2 linked regions of the Tamandua tetradactyla genome follow. The protein of the gene in region 1 purifies or fractionates together with the protein of each later gene. This does not show direct contact. Links are inferred from orthologs where the notes say so. Each region holds a gene or a part of one and is shown on either strand. Other genes may lie near its edges.

Region 1 (7,688 bases):
ATTCCTAGAAAATAGAAACAAAAATAGCACTTCAAGAGTAGGGGGAAAAAAGGAATATTTAAGCAGGAAAAAGTAGTTTTTATAAGTCTTATTAATATCTTGAAGGCAACTCAAGAGATACCTGCGAACATTTTACACAGGACAAATGACTTGACCACAGGTAGAAATATTCATTTTTTGAAGAATCAGGGTGGCATAGAATAGAATCCAAAAAGGCTATTGAACGTTAGGGGACAAAATCCTTTCTCCTTCCTTGTGGGGCTCTTTCAATTCATGAAAGAAGCCTAAGAAGCTACATCTTGATGATGCCCAGCATGACAGTCACAGGCCACATGTGGCTACTGAACAATATTTGAACTGTGGCTTTTGCAACTTGGGAATCGATCTTTTATTTGTATTTATTTGATAATTCAATTCCTCAGTTGCACATTTCAAGTGCTCAAAAGCAAGTAGCTAGTGACTACCTCGCTGGACAGCACAGATACAGACCATCTCTATCACCACAGAAGTTCTATTGGACAGTGCTGCTTAGATCCTTATCGTGAAAGTGGTGTCAGAGACCACAGTTTAACTCCTATTTATTAACTATGTAACATATACCATGTTAAATGCTATGGTCATTAAAGGAACGAATAATGTATAGTTCCTCGCTCAAAACACAACCTAGTGAAAAGGACTTAACTTGTAAGAATGAAATAAATGCTAAATTGCTTTAAGGGGGTGGGAGGCAGTGATTAATTCTAATAAAGAAAAGCTGGGTTTGGCTGGAGTTATAACCTTCACTTATTATGGGCATGGAGGCACTGAGTACTTGGAAGAGCACAAGTTTTGGCATCAGAGAGTCTTGGGCTCATGTCCTATCTCTTTATACCTTTGATCAAGAAGATGTCATTCATCTATAAAATGGGGATAACAGCAGCCTACCTACAACAAACACAAGGCTCTATCAAATGAGATTAAGAATAAAGCAACTTCAAAAATAAATAACTCAGATATGGCAAGTTGAGGAATCAGGAAGATTTCACAGAAGTAATATTTGAGATAGGCGTTGATCCATCTCTGAGATCCTACCCAACAGGAGTTTACAGAGAGGTGATTCACTTTCTTTTTCACATCTCAGCACAAGTTACAAATAATATTTAAAAGGCATATTGGGGTATGAGAAGGCTCTGGTAGTTTCAGGCTCTAGCCAACTGATTAGATCCTTCTGAGGATCCCTCTCTCAGTTTAACATATGATATTTGAGAGTCAGCCTGATATGGTCTGCACCTCACCAGCTCTAAGGCCTTGAAAATAACAGTTAGCCACTCAAAGTTTCAGTTTCCTCATCTGCCAAGTAAAAGTGACATCTCCTACATTACATACAGTTGAGAGTTCATGTAAAGTCACTTCCTATACAATAAATGGCCTACCACATATACACTATCGAGAACAACTCCTCATCCTTCTGTTACAGCACTCACATCAGATAGCTGTGTAGATTCCCATCTTTCCCTACTAGACTGCAAGCAACTTTCTGAAGGCAAAGACCATACCTCACACTGAATAGTCAACAGTCCCATCTCATCACGATTTCTCAAATGTCTACATTATACCTGACAACATGCTAGATTTTCATCTGGATTATTCTGCTTATTTTTCACCATAATAAGGAGTTGGTTGAGCTCCAGTTTTTCCTCATCTACAAAGTTCCTACTTCAACAAATCCCTCAGAATGAAAAACAAACAACAACAATGTATGCAATGCTATTAAGTTACTAGAACATAATAAAGGGACAATACCAGTTATCATCATCCCCATTTTATAAATAAGGAAACTGAGAGACAGAGAGGTTAAGTTGCTGGTGTTAGTAAGTGGCAGTCAGGCTTAGATTCCAGGCAACTGGCCTCTGGAGCCAACATACTATCAAGTGCCCAGTGCCTGGCACATAATAGGCTGAGATCATTGCATCTGTCAGATCCTGAGCAGTCTGGAACCAATAGCAGCTGCATGAGAGTGAGGCCTGAGAGATAAGGTCTAGATGGTGTGGCCCCTTAGGCTCTCTATTCAGTGTGGGTAACTGTACCCCTTCATAGGGCTGTTCAAAGGACTGAGTGAAAGGACATACTTTAAGTACCAGCATTATGGCTGGCCCAGAGTAAAAGCTCTGTACATAAGTGGTAGCGATTCTTGCTCCCGTCTTACGATGTGAAAACAGAGGCATAGATGAAGAAACTGGCCCAATATCAAGCAAGGAATCTATCTTACTCCAAATGCCCAGCACAGCGCTCGGTAGATAACAGGCTAAGGCCTGTACCCTCCACCGGACGTCGAATGCTGCCGAAAATAATAGAAGTGTGAGGAGGAGCCTAAGAGAAAAACAGCCTGATGATCTGAAGTCTAGGAACCTGGGCCGTGGTTCGAGGGACCTCAGACAAGTGCCTTAACCGTTCCTGGGCCTCCGTTTCTTTCTCCAAGAAATGAGGATAACACTCTCCAAACTCAGAAGCCCGAGCCTAGAAAACAAGGCTCAGTTGAGAAGTTAGAGGGGCATGGGAGAAGAGGGCAACCAGGGATGCGCACAAGGGGGCGGGGAGGGGATATTTACCTTTGCGCAGCTCGCGGTGCCACACGGAGACGATGGGTCCCGCGTGCTTGCGGTGGTGGATGAGCCACAGGGACAGGGTCTGCACGCTCTGCTGAGAGTTGCTCAGCTCAGAGAGCTTCTTCTCTAGAGCCGACTCGGAGAAGGAGGACATGGTGGCGGCAATGAGGCCCGGCAGGAAGCGGCCTGGACCGCCGAGAACGGCGGTAAGTGCAACTGCACCAGGCCAGAGCCTCACTTGAGAGACTGCCGGACTTTTTTACTGACTGACAGACTGCCCGGGTGATGGAGGGGGGATGGGATAGGTCTCCGCAGTAACAGCCGTCCGCGCCGCCGCCACAAGATGGCCACCGACCTCTCACCCCCCGCGAAATCGGGGTCAAAGGGCAAGAGCCGTAATAACTAGGCACCCGGAGCTGTAGAGTAACGCCCCACCAGTGATAGCGTCCTCTCTCGACCTCGCTCGGGGTACTTCAAAGGCGACAGACAGAGAGAGGAGCTCAGTTCCGCGGATGTCCTAAGGCGCTTTGAGCGATCGCGCCAGCACGCCGGCGCAGTGAGTCTAAAAAGAACCCTTTTTCCCGCGCCCGCGGAACTTTTCTAGTGCGGTACGGCGCGCTCGTTATCGCGTCACTTCCGGCGGGGTGTAGGAGGCGGGAGAGAGAAAGACAGGGGAAAGACTGGAAGACGAGGTAAGAGAGTAGTGGCGGGACCAAGAGGGAGCTTAGCAGGACGGAAGCCTGAGAAGGCATCCTGAGGTGACATCGAAGCTGAAACATCATGGCCTGGGTATGGGGGAGGGCTTCTTCCCTTACCTGGTCTTTTCCAGGTCGCACTTGAACGCCATACATGTTCTGCTCTTAGGCCGCCAACAGAAAGCTTTTTGTTTTGTTGCACTTTCACGTGGCCGTGCTTTGGCTTTTGCTGTTCTCTCCCCAAAGGTATCGACCACTTTCTCACCAGGTCTTCCAGGACCCACTCTTTAATGTCCAGTTCTGACATTTAGTCGGTGCATTTAGTTAAATGCTACACCTTTGTGTTCTTAATTGGTGATTCGTTCAGACTGTCCTTGCCAGTATGGGAGTTTGTCCTTAAAGTTAAATACTATTAAACTTTTAGGGGGAGGAGGGAGGACTTATTTTACCCTCCCAATGCGGCCATTGACCACCTTTGAGAAACACTATTTGAGAGTCTGAGGGCTTATTCTATTATTATGTTTTTATCCTATTATTTTTAATGTTAAAAACTTTTTAAAGTTTTAAAATCCAGTTATCAAAGCAGCAAAGAATTTTATCTTTCTAACTGCTGTAGGGATGAGGATAGGGAGTTAGAATATCATTGCCATAACAGCATTTTAAAATTTTCCCAATCGTAGTTGAACCTCCCGATTGTAGGCAGACCCTAGGCATCACATACTTTGCTTAGATGCCTTTATCCCTCCTCCAGACAAGAATCATCCTAATCATAGCTAAAAATTAATGATTGCTTGCTATGTGCCAGACCTTGTTTTCACATAGTAACTAATTTAATCCTCACAACAAAATGCCAGGGTCAGTATTATATAATTACAAAATAACAAATGATATAATTACAAAATAACAGATGAGGAAACTGAGGCTCAGAGAAGTTAAGTGACCCGACCAAGATCACTGCTAAGATTTGAGGGCAGGGTCTACATCTTTTCCATCTCTTTGTCTCTGGTCCCTGATTCCTGAGTGAGTGGATTAATATAGAAAAGATGAGTGGCCTAAAATCATACAATTAATAACAAATCATAATCATAACCTAGGGTTTTTGAGTCCAACTCTAGACTTTGTATTAAATAACACTGTCATATATTGAGCACTTTTATACCAAGTGATTGTATATTAAGCACATTACATTCTTCTATTTAATCCTTTCAACAATTCTATGGGGTAATAATTATCACTATTTGATAGATGAGGAAACAAAGCATGGTTAAGTAACCTAAGATCTCACAGCTAGGAAATGACAGAACCAGGATTCAAATCAAGATTGTCTGATGTCTGATCTCATATTCTTCAATATTAAGCCAGTGGTTTATTCATTCATTCAGCAACAAGTATTGAAGATTTATGTCTGAAGCACTTTTCTAGGCAAACAGACAAAAATCTATATTCTTGGAAGCTTACATTTTCTAGGGAAGTTAAATAAATAAACATGCAAGTATAAAATGTGTCAGAAAGTGATAAGTGCTTGGATAAAATCAAGAAGGGTAGGGGGATGAGATTTTATATGTATGAGTGCATAGGATTCTATTTTATATATAATAGTCAGAGAAGGCCTCACTGACAGGGTGACATTTGATCAGATTAATATAGAAAAGATGAGTGGCCTAAAATCATACAATTAATAACAAATCATAATCATAGCCTAGGGTTTTTGAGTCCAACTCTAGACTTTGTATTAAATAACACTGTCATATATTGAGCACTTTTATACCAAGTGATTGTATATTAAGCACATTACATTCTTCTATTTAATGTGCTTAATATTAAAAAAGTGAGAGAACAACCCGTGTGTTATATCGTGGAATATTGTTCCAGGGAGAGGGAAAACCAAGTGCAAAGTCCTAAGGTTAGACCATTTTGGCATTTTTGAGGAACGACAAGGAGTACAGTAATGCTGGAGTGATTTGAACCAGAAGTGCGGCTGGAAATGAACACCGAAATGTAGCAGAGTCAGATCAGGTGGAGAGTTGTAGGCCGTAGTAAGTACTTTGGATGTTACTCCAAATTAGACAGTTTTGAGCAAAAGGAGGTCATTGTGCCTGCTAAGTAGAAAATAGACAGTAGGGGTGCAACGGTAGAAGAAGGAAGACCAGTTAGGTGGCTATTGTAATAATTCATTTGAAAGGATGACTCAGACCAAGGTGTTGCCTGTGAATTGGTGAGAAGGGATCAGATTCTGGGGACATCTTAGAGGAAGAAGTAACAGGATTTACTGTCAGTTTGGATAATGGGGCATGAAAAGAGAGAGGGGAGTTAACATTGCCCCAAGGATTTTAACCTAAGTAGTCCTCAGGATGGAGTTTCCATTCACTGCGTTGGGAAAGAGCAAGTTTGGGGTGAAAGAGCTGGTGTTTGGATTTCACATGTTCAATTGAAAATGCCTATCAAGTAGAGATGGCTAATGAGCAGTTGGATTTGTGGGTCTGGAGTTCAAAGGAGAGATCTGGGCTAGAGATAAATGTGGAAATCATAAGGGGCAGTAGGCGTGAAAAAAAAAAAGGTAGAGGCCCAGTGACCGAATCCTCCTACACGTCAACATTTATACATCTGAAAAATGAGGCTGATGTGATCCTCTGATTTTTCTTTGTTAGTCTATTCATATTCATTGCACTGAGCAATTTTCAAATTTTGAGCCAGTCTTGCATCCCTGGAAAAAAACCCACTTTGTCATGTTGTGTAATTCTTTTTATATATTGCTGAATTATATTTCCTGATATTTTGTTTAAGATTTCTGCATCTATAAACACGACGGCTATTAGTCTGTAGTTTTTTTATTTTGTCTTTGTCTGGTTTTGGTGTGAGGGTAGTAATAACTTCATAAAATGAAAAGTTCCCCCCTCTTCTGTTTTCTGAAAGAGTTTGTGGAGAATTAATTGGTTTTAATTCTTTAAACTTTTGGTGGAATTCTTCAGTGAAACCATCTGGGTCTGGAGATTTCTACTTTTGAAGTTTTTAAATTGCAAATTCAGTTTCCTAAATAGTTATAGGGTTGTTCAAATCATCTATTTCATATTGTGTTGCATGTGTTAGTTTGTGGTAGTCGAGGAATTCACCTATTTTGTCTAAGTTGTCAAATTTATGTGTTTTGAGTTGTTTGTAGTATCCCCTTACAAGGTCTATTCACACTTAAAAGGTGAATTCTGTTTCATTTCTGATATTGGTAATTTGCATCTTCACTCTTTGTTCTTAGTACTCTTGCTAGAAGTTTGTCAATATTATTGATTCTTTCAAGAACTAGCTTTGTTTCATTGATTTTCTTTAATGCTTTCTGTCTTCAGTTCATTGATTTCTGCTCATATCTTTATGATTTCCTTCTTTTTGCTTGCTTTGAGTTTATTTTGCTGTTCATTTTGTAGGTTCCTTAGGTAGGACTTTATTGATTTGAGACTCTTCCGCTTTTTTAATATATGCATTTAGTACTATAAATTTCCCTCTCAGCAGTGCTTTAACTGTGTCCCACAAATTTTACTGTTGTATTTTCATTTGCATTCTGTTCATTGTATTATTATTTTTTTAATTTCTCTTGAGTCTTTTTCTTTGACCAGTGGATTGTTTAGAAGTTGTTTCCAGGTGTTTGGACATTTTCCTGTTATCTTTCAGTATTCATTTGTATTGTGATTCCATTATGGCCAGGGAACTCACTGTATCATTTCAGTTCTTTTCAGTGTGTTTGTTTGTTTTATGACCCAGCATGTGGTCTATCTTGGTGTATGTTCCATGGTCACTTAAAAAGAATATGTATTCTGCTTTTGCAGAGTGGAGTGTTCTATAAATGTCTGTTAGATTTTGTTGGTTAATGGTGGTATTGTGTTGAGTTCTTCTATGTTCTTGCTGATTTTCTGTCTAGTTCTATGAATTGTTGAAAATGGGTGTTGAAGTCTCCAACTATAATTGTGGATTTGTCTTTTTCTCCTTTCAGTTCTTTTAGTTTCTTTCACATGTGTTGCAGCTCTGTTGTTTGATGCAATCACGTTAGGATTATATATTTTGAGGGGATTGACCTTTTTTATCATTATATAATGTCCCTCTCTCTCTTTGGGAGTTTACTTTCCTCTAAGGTCTACTTTATCTGATATTAGTGTAGCTATTTCTGCTTTTCCTGAAGTAATGTTTGTGTTTTTTTTCCATCCTTTTTCTTTTGACCTGCCTATGTTGTTATGTTTGAAGTGAATTTCTTGTTGACAGTGTGTAGGTCATCTCCCCTGCCAAGGTGTCTTTTTAGTTGGTGTTTTTAGACTGTCTATATTTAATGTAATTATTGATATATTAGAGCTTAAGTCTGCTATTTTCCTTTTTGTGTTCTGTTTGCTCTCTCTTTTCATTTCTCTATTTCCTTTTTCCTGACTTACTG
Region 2 (7,772 bases), on another chromosome or scaffold:
AAGGCCTTTCTGGTAAGTAAATATTTGAACTGAAGTCTGAATAATGATAAGCCAGAATTTGAAGAAGTCTGAGAGGTGAGCAGGACAGACGTAGAATCTGGTAGACTGTAGTAAATATCTGGCTTTTAATGCTGGTTCAGAAGGACATCACTGAGGCTTTTAAAGCTCAGGAAGGACATTCTTTTATGCTACAGAAAAATCACATTAGAAAATGATGGTAATAAATGCTTCAGCCATGAAAATTAAAAGAAGCCTGAATAAAATCAGTAGAATTCCTCCATAGGAGTATAACTTCAGGGAGCCTACTTGCCGTCTCTAAATTATTTCCTTTAAATGAACAAAAAGTCTCTTATTACACATGATGAAATAAAGGATAAAATGAGAATATCTCTGGAAGAGCTAACACAGTTACTTAAATACACACTAAGGATAAATATAAATTACTAAATAAGAATGGATGACAAAAGAAAAAATGAGAAGAAAAAGCAGCATCAGGATAACAGAAAGAAAGGCTAAAATGCCAGACAGTTTTACCTAAAGCCAACTTAGAAACCAAACTCAAATTGAAACTGGTCTAACTGTAAACAAACTACAATGTAAATGGAAATAAGGCCCAATGCATAAACTACTACAATCCTGCCCTTCACCATAACCCTTAATATTTCTCTCTAAAAAACGCTTTACTTATTAAATGGATGATATTCATTAAATGTAAATAAACACAAAACCACTCCAAATTAACCTTAAAAATAACCATTTTAGAAACTTAAGTTCTATTCCACTAGGAAAACAACTGGGCATTGGAAAGTCATAAGTATTAACTATATAAACTGTATACAATGCGCTTCAAATTAATTATTGCCTTCCTAAAACGATCATTTTTCACTATTGATACCAAGAAGGGAAACAGGTTCAGGCATAATATCAATAACCAGTCAAGGTAGAAAAATTTTGGCCCCAGTGTATTTCATTATTGCTGACCAGAAAAAAACATTTTAACTGTCACTTGTAATTGCCACAAGGCAGACATTGGGAACAACCTATTTCTGCAAATTCAGAGCCCAAAGGTAGAAAATGTTAAATAAATGTTAGAATAATCCGTAGCACTGCTTGCTACCACTGGTGTAGCAAGTACATTCGTGTTCCCAGTACATTAAAGAATAATCTTGAAAATATTATTTTACAAGGCTAAACGTGATCACTGTCACCTGATCTGGCAGAATCAAGTCCTGATTCCACTATTTTGCCTTGTACTCAACTCCTAAGAAACTTAACATGTCATAGTCTTGGTTTCCTCATCTGTAAATCAGTGATTAGAAAAATCTACTTCTCAGGATTATTTTCAGAAATAATGAGATAGATGTTACTCTAAATCACAATAAAAGGCTGGGCACATAGGAGATATTCAATAAATGAGAGTCTTTGATGACAACTATCATCATGTTTGATATTACACTTTTCAATTTTACCTGTTGGGAAGAAAGTAAGTATTTGTAAAATATAGGTAATCCTGTCTTGGCTCTCCTAACTTTTCATCATTATTATTCAAAGAACCACAAAATCATCTGTCTCAACAATTAACCTTATACACAAATAGCTGGAAACTTGGGGCTTATAATTTTGCAAGCTCTATCAATACAGGGGCTGGGATAAATAGAAGTAGAAAAAGAAACAAGAATAACTGGACGATGGGACTCAAAGGTGACATGCCACAGACAAGAAGCAACAAAATGGATATACACAATGAGCACAATTTATTCAATGGATAAAATTCAAATGGATATATATGGAGCTAGGGCTACCTCCTCTTCTCAGCAAGGAGCGATAGTCACTTGTCCACACCTCCCTCCTCTTAGATTTGAAATCCTTTGCAAACAAACCTATGCTTCCTGGAAGCTTAACAGACCTCTTTTCCATAGCAAAGCAGCAAAAAAGCAGTGGAAAAAACTCCACGATGAAGACAAAAAAGTAATAACTGAAAAATTAAAAGAACTACATACTCCAAAAGTACATTTCCTGTTTTGAGTACCTATGAAATCAATCTCAAAATGGGAAAAAGACATTTCAAGCTAATATGGATATGTTTTGCATTTTAAGGTATTAGTGATAACGCTGATTAGAGTATTTCAGCTGTTTCCGGTCAGTATCAAAAGAGCCCGTATTTTACTGCAGCAAACACAGGTCCAGGAAAAACAGCCCCAGTGGTGGCCGCAGCTCTGTGTGGAGCTCAGGTGGCTGCCGGATGGCATTCAGCCAGGTAAGGCCCCCTCATTACACATCACAAGGAGAGGTCAGCGGGAAAGGCAGAGCCGCCCCACACATTCCGGAGAAGGGGACGGATTCGCTACTACTTAGAACAGTTTGTTTACTGCCAGGAGAAGGACTCGTTACCACGTCAAGGCCTATAGGAAATAAACGGACGCGGTCATGTCCGTGCAGGGTCAGTCCAGTCAACGGCACACCTCGGTAGCCTCGGCCAGGAAAGAATGTGTAAACACCTGCGGATCGGGGCCCAACGGCCCAAGGTCAAGCCAAATCTGCGGCTAAAAAACCCACGCACTGAGCCTCCCGCAGCCCAGCACAGCGCTGCCGAGGAGGGCAGGCTGCGCCCGGGAGCGCTCGGGTCAAGGCCTGGACGGGGCCAGCCGCACGCGAAGGCAGCGGCTCCGCGGGAAGACCCAACGCTTCGGGAAGGCTTTCCTTCCCTCCCCCGGCTCCCCGGCTCCCCGGCCCCCGGCTCCCAGGCCCCGGCCACCCCGACACTCACATCTCCGCAGCCACTTCATCCAGTGGTAGACGATAGTGCTGTGGTGTTTCTTGTTCTCTATGCACCACGACGACAAGCCTTGAATGGACTCCATGGTGTTAGTTACCGACTGGAGTTTTCGGTCCAGCGAGGCCTCCAGTGCGCCCGCCGCGGAGGCCGACGAGGACGAGGCCTTGCCGCCGCCGCCGCCGCCGCCGGCAGCCATCTTCGCGGTGTGCACAGGCGCCGCTGCTCCTCAGGCGGCGGCGGCGGCGGCGGCGGGACGGGGAGAACGATCCCTGCGAGAGCGCGGACGCCGCGGCGGGAGCAGGGGCGGGGCGGGGCGCGCGGGGCCTTCCCGGCTCTCGGACTGCAGGACCCGCGGCCCGGCGCGCTGGCGGCCCCACACGCTGCGAGCGGGGGCGGCGGGTGTCCAGGGTGATCGGTACTGTTCAAGGGGTCGTGTTTAAACCAGTCAGTAACCACGAAAGAACTACGCAAAAACAAACAAACAAACAAAAAAACAGGACCTGCAAAGCCTTTCAAGCGCCCAGCCCCGAAAGTAATGGTTTTATAACTCTAAGGCCCTTCCCCACCCCTAACCCACCCTCCTCTGAGTAGGGGCGGGCGTTAATTTCTTAAATTTAATGCCACCCGACCGCCGCTCTCAGTTGCAGAAATCTTTCTCCCTTAGATCCCCTAGCACAGAAAAGGCCCAACGCTACCTAGTCAGGACTTTTTTTTTTTTTTTTTTTTGCAACGCAACAGCAGCAAAGGGACAGCAATAGTATCGCGCACGCGCCGCTAGACCCCGCCCCGCTTCCTTCACAACCCAGAGCAGAGGAGGCGGGATGGCGGGGCAGTCTGACCAATCAAGGGAAAGAACGAGAAGGGCGCGCAGGGGCGCGCACGCCTCAAGGGCCAAGGCGGCGCGTCCATTACTTGTGCGCCTGCGCAGCAGCTCAGCCTATAGCGGCTGGGAGGAAAAACGGGGCCGGCTCGGGGGAGAAGTTGGTTTGGCTGAGAGGCTTGGGGGAAGGGCTCTGCCACTCTGCCTTCGGCTTCCTGCCGTGGTCCGTCTCTCAGCTCACAAAACGGAGCCGGAAAACTCCCACTGCTCGGAAACTACTGTTATTTTCTAGAGGCTGCAGCTCCGGCCGCCACTAAAACTCCACGGAGCAACAACGCGGGACAAAATAGCTTGCCACCATCTTGCGGCTGGTCGGATTGTGCGCCTGCGCATGCGCCAGCCGCAGCCCCTGCGCTTCGCAGGCTGTTCTCAGCACGCTGTTTCCCTCCCTGGCCGGCCGGTGCCGCTCTCAGCCAGTGGTCGTTGGGCTTGTAGGAAGAGAAAACAAACGACAAAGTGAAGGGAAAAACACCCCTCTAAAATTTTCGAGATGAGAGAATAAAAGGCGAGATGTGACCTCGCCTTCAGAGTTGGGATACAGTCTCACAATTGCTTGCTACGTTAAGTTGAGAAGACTTTAATATATTAAATCGATGAGCACGCCTCAGATGAGCCATTGTCGCCTTATCTCCCTATGTAAATTTCTCTGGGAACATCTGGGGGCTCCTTTGTCCCTACATACAAGTATCGTGTTTTAAATCTTCTGATGTTTTCCCGGAAGAGTCAAGTTTCTTGAGGCAGGGAACCCGTTTTGTCAAGTTCATGTCTAGTATTCAGTAGCAGTAAGTTACAGTTGAACGTCCTCGCCCCAAGTACTGTTGTAGGTGTTGAGGGCCCGTCCAGAGCAAGACAGAATAAAGGCCTTCCATCTGGGCTTGGGGTAGGGCACCACCGCCAAGTATACATCAGGTAGAAATAAGTTATACGAAACATTCATGAAGAGCGAGTGGGATGTGTGCATGTGTATGTTCCGTATAGGTATGCTAATCTGGTGTGATGATCTAGGAAGTCTTCTGGAGGGAAATGACATTGGATCTCAGTGTTGACAGCAAGGTAACCAAACGGGGAGGGAAGCAAAGAGGAACAGCAGGGTAAAGGCGCTAAAACAGGGCTGTCTTAGTATAATAGAGGAAGAACAAGGAGTCTAAGTGGTTGGAGAGTAAGAGCCAGGGCAAGTGGTAAAATGTGATATCTGAAAGGTGAAAAAAGAGGGAGTTCATGTAGAGCCTTGTAGGTCACTGTAAGGCTTATAACACTGAGGTTGGTTTTTCTTTTTCTTTTTTTTTTTTAACTCTGAGATGAGAAGCTATTTTAAACAGGAGTTTTTAAGCAAAAAAGTTACATGACTGGGTGTAGCAAAACAGATGAGAAGTGGTCAGATCCTGGATCTATTTTGAAGGCAGGGCCAAAAAAATCCCTCATGGGTGTATATGGAATATGAGAAAATGAGTCAAGTATGACACTGTGCTGGTTTGGAAGGATGTGTGTCCCCTAGAAAAGCCATGTTTTAATCTAAATCCCATTTCATAGGGGCAGAATAATCCCTATTCAATACTATATGTTTGAAACTGTAATTAGATCATCTCTCTGTAGATGTGGTTTAATGAAGAGTGGTTGTTAAACTGGATTAGGTGATGACCTGTCTCCACCAATTTGGGTGGGTCTTCATAAATTTATGGAGTCCTATAAAAGAGGAAACATTTTGAAGAATGAAAGCGATCCGGAGAGGGCAGAGCAGAATGACATAGCCACAAGAAGCAGAGTCCACCAGCCAGTGACCTTTGGAGATGAAGAAGGAACATGCCTCCCAGGGAGCTTCATGAAACCGGAAGCCAGGAGAGAAAGCTAGCAGATGACACCATGTTTGCCATGTGCCCTTCCAGCTGAGAGAGAAGCCCTGTGTTCACCATGTGCCTTCTCATTTGAAACATAAACCCTGAACTTCTTTGGCCTTTTTGAACCAAGGTATCTTTCCCTGGATGGATGCCTTAAATTGGACATTTCTATAATTTGTTTTAATTGGGGAATTTTCTCAGCCTTAGAACTTGAAACTAGCAACTTATTAAATTCCCCTTCTTAAAAGCCATTCCGTTTCTGGTATATTGCATTCCGGGAGCTAGCAAACCAGAACGGACACCAAGGATTTTTGTTATTTTTTTAAGTATTTGTATTGACAAATCACACACAGTCCATATATGGTATACAATCAGTGGCTGACAATATCACCACATAGTTGTGTATTCATCACCATGATCATTTTTTAGAATGTGTGCATCATTCCAGTAAAAGAAATAAAAAGAAAAAGCTCAGGGCTTCCGGGTAAAGATGGCGGCTTAACAACGTGCGCGTTTTAGTTCATCCTTCAGAACAACTACTAAATAACCAGAAACAATACAGAACAGCTCCTGGGGCCACATCAGTGACCAGACATACAGCGTACCCCAATCTGGACCAACTGGACTGGCTACAAGCACCCCCCGCCAGAACCGTGAGTTCCCAAAGCTGCCGTGGCCAGCGCCCCTCCCCCACAGGCCACTTCCCAGAGGGGAAAGGAAAGAGACTTTACCAGCAGCAGGAACTGGGCACAATCAAATGCCAATTGTGGAACTAATTAACAAATTCTGACTACTAAAAATAGGCCCCCAGCTTAGGCGAACATGATCAAAGCGGAGGTTGCTCATTTTTGCCCCAGCGCCAAGGGGGCAGGACTGACAGAAAAAGGGGGGAAAAAAGAAGGAAACAGAGGTTTTTGTGGCTTGACTGCCTCTGGATACAGCAGCAGGACTTTTCAAGCTGCAACTGCCCCAGGCACAGGCAGAAGTGAGCTCTTTTGGGGGCTTGTCTGGAGCCTGTGCCTTCCCCAGGGGAGGGGTTAAGCACAACTCAGGTGGAAGCCCTCCCTCAAAGAATTCAGACCCCAGGGCTTGGTAATTTGAAGCCATTAAAACCAGCCTACAATCTCTCCTCTGTCTCCACCCCGCCCCCAGCAGGGAGAGTCTGCCAAAGTTAAAGGTACCACATCATCTTATGCTGGTGGGACCTGCAGTCAGACAAGCCCCACACACAGGGCAGGAGAAGAAAAACAGAGTTAGAGACCTCACAGGAAAGTCTCAACCTGCTGGGTCTCACCCTCAGGGAAAACCAACGCAGGTGACTCTTTCCTCCTGATAGGAGGCCAGTTTGGTCTGGGAAAATCTGGCTGGGGTATATAATATCTAAGTAGACCCTCCTAAGTGTGTGTGTTGGGGAAAGGCACCACACAAGCAGGGCAAGAAACAAGAAAACAAGAACTGAAAATTTGTGCTCTGTTAAACAAAACTTAAGCTAAAGTTTCATCTAAAACTGAACGGAATGTCAAAGAACAGATAGACAACAAATTCATCCAGCAAGAAAACCCTAGATAAAAGAAGTGAAAGCAATCTCCAGAATAAACTAATTAAGGTAATTAAATGCCTAGACACCAGCAAAAAATAACAAATCACACTAGGAAAATTGAAGATATGGCCCAGTCAAAGGAACAAACCAGCAATTCAAATGACATACAGGAGCTGAAACAATTAATTCAGAATGTACGAACAGACATGGAAAACCTCATCAAAAACCAAATCAATGAATTGAGGGAGGATATAAAGAAGGCAAGGAAAGAACAAAAAGAAGAAACTGAAAGTCTGAAAAAACAAATCACAGAACTTATGGGAATGAAAGACAGAGTAGAAGAGATGAAAAAAAAACAACGGAAACCTACAATGGTAGATTTCGAGAGACAGAACATAGGATTTCTGAACTGGAGACGGAACATCTGTAATCCGACAAGAAACAGAAACTATAGGAAAAAAAATGGAAAAATATGAGCAGGGACTCAGGGAATTGAAAGACAATGTGAAGCGCACAAATATACGTGTTGTGGGTGTCCCAGAAGGAGAAGAGAAGGGGAAAGGAGGAGAAAAACTAATGGAGGAAATTATCACTGAAAATTTCCCAACTCTTATGAAAGCCTTAAAATTGCAAATCCAAGAAGTGCAGCGTACCCCAAAGAGAATAGATCCAAATAGACATACTCCAAGACATTTAATAATCAGAACGTCAGAGGTCAAAGAGAAAGAGAGGGTCTTGAAA

What was found.
Region 2: the proteins of RPRD1B (region 1) and RPRD2 purify together in Homo sapiens (affinity purification with mass spectrometry; 4 studies listed by BioGRID and IntAct, counting the BioPlex papers as one, with this or other methods). This does not show direct contact. The link is inferred for Tamandua tetradactyla from reciprocal best matches to the Homo sapiens genes RPRD1B and RPRD2.

Annotation. Positions count from the first base shown.
Region 1 is NC_135327.1:14,129,251-14,136,938, forward strand, and holds the start of RPRD1B (regulation of nuclear pre-mRNA domain-containing protein 1B), read right to left. Parts: upstream 3,162-7,688; 5' UTR 2,740-3,161; coding exon 2,589-2,739; intron 2,466-2,588; exon of another isoform or gene 1,802-2,465; coding exon of another isoform or gene 1,783-1,801; intron 1-1,782. UniProt on the Homo sapiens protein: Interacts with phosphorylated C-terminal heptapeptide repeat domain (CTD) of the largest RNA polymerase II subunit POLR2A, and participates in dephosphorylation of the CTD by RPAP2. Transcriptional regulator which enhances expression of CCND1.
Region 2 is NC_135330.1:5,449,048-5,456,819, forward strand, and holds the start of RPRD2 (regulation of nuclear pre-mRNA domain-containing protein 2), read right to left. Parts: upstream 3,002-7,772; 5' UTR 2,973-3,001; coding exon 2,768-2,972; intron 1-2,767.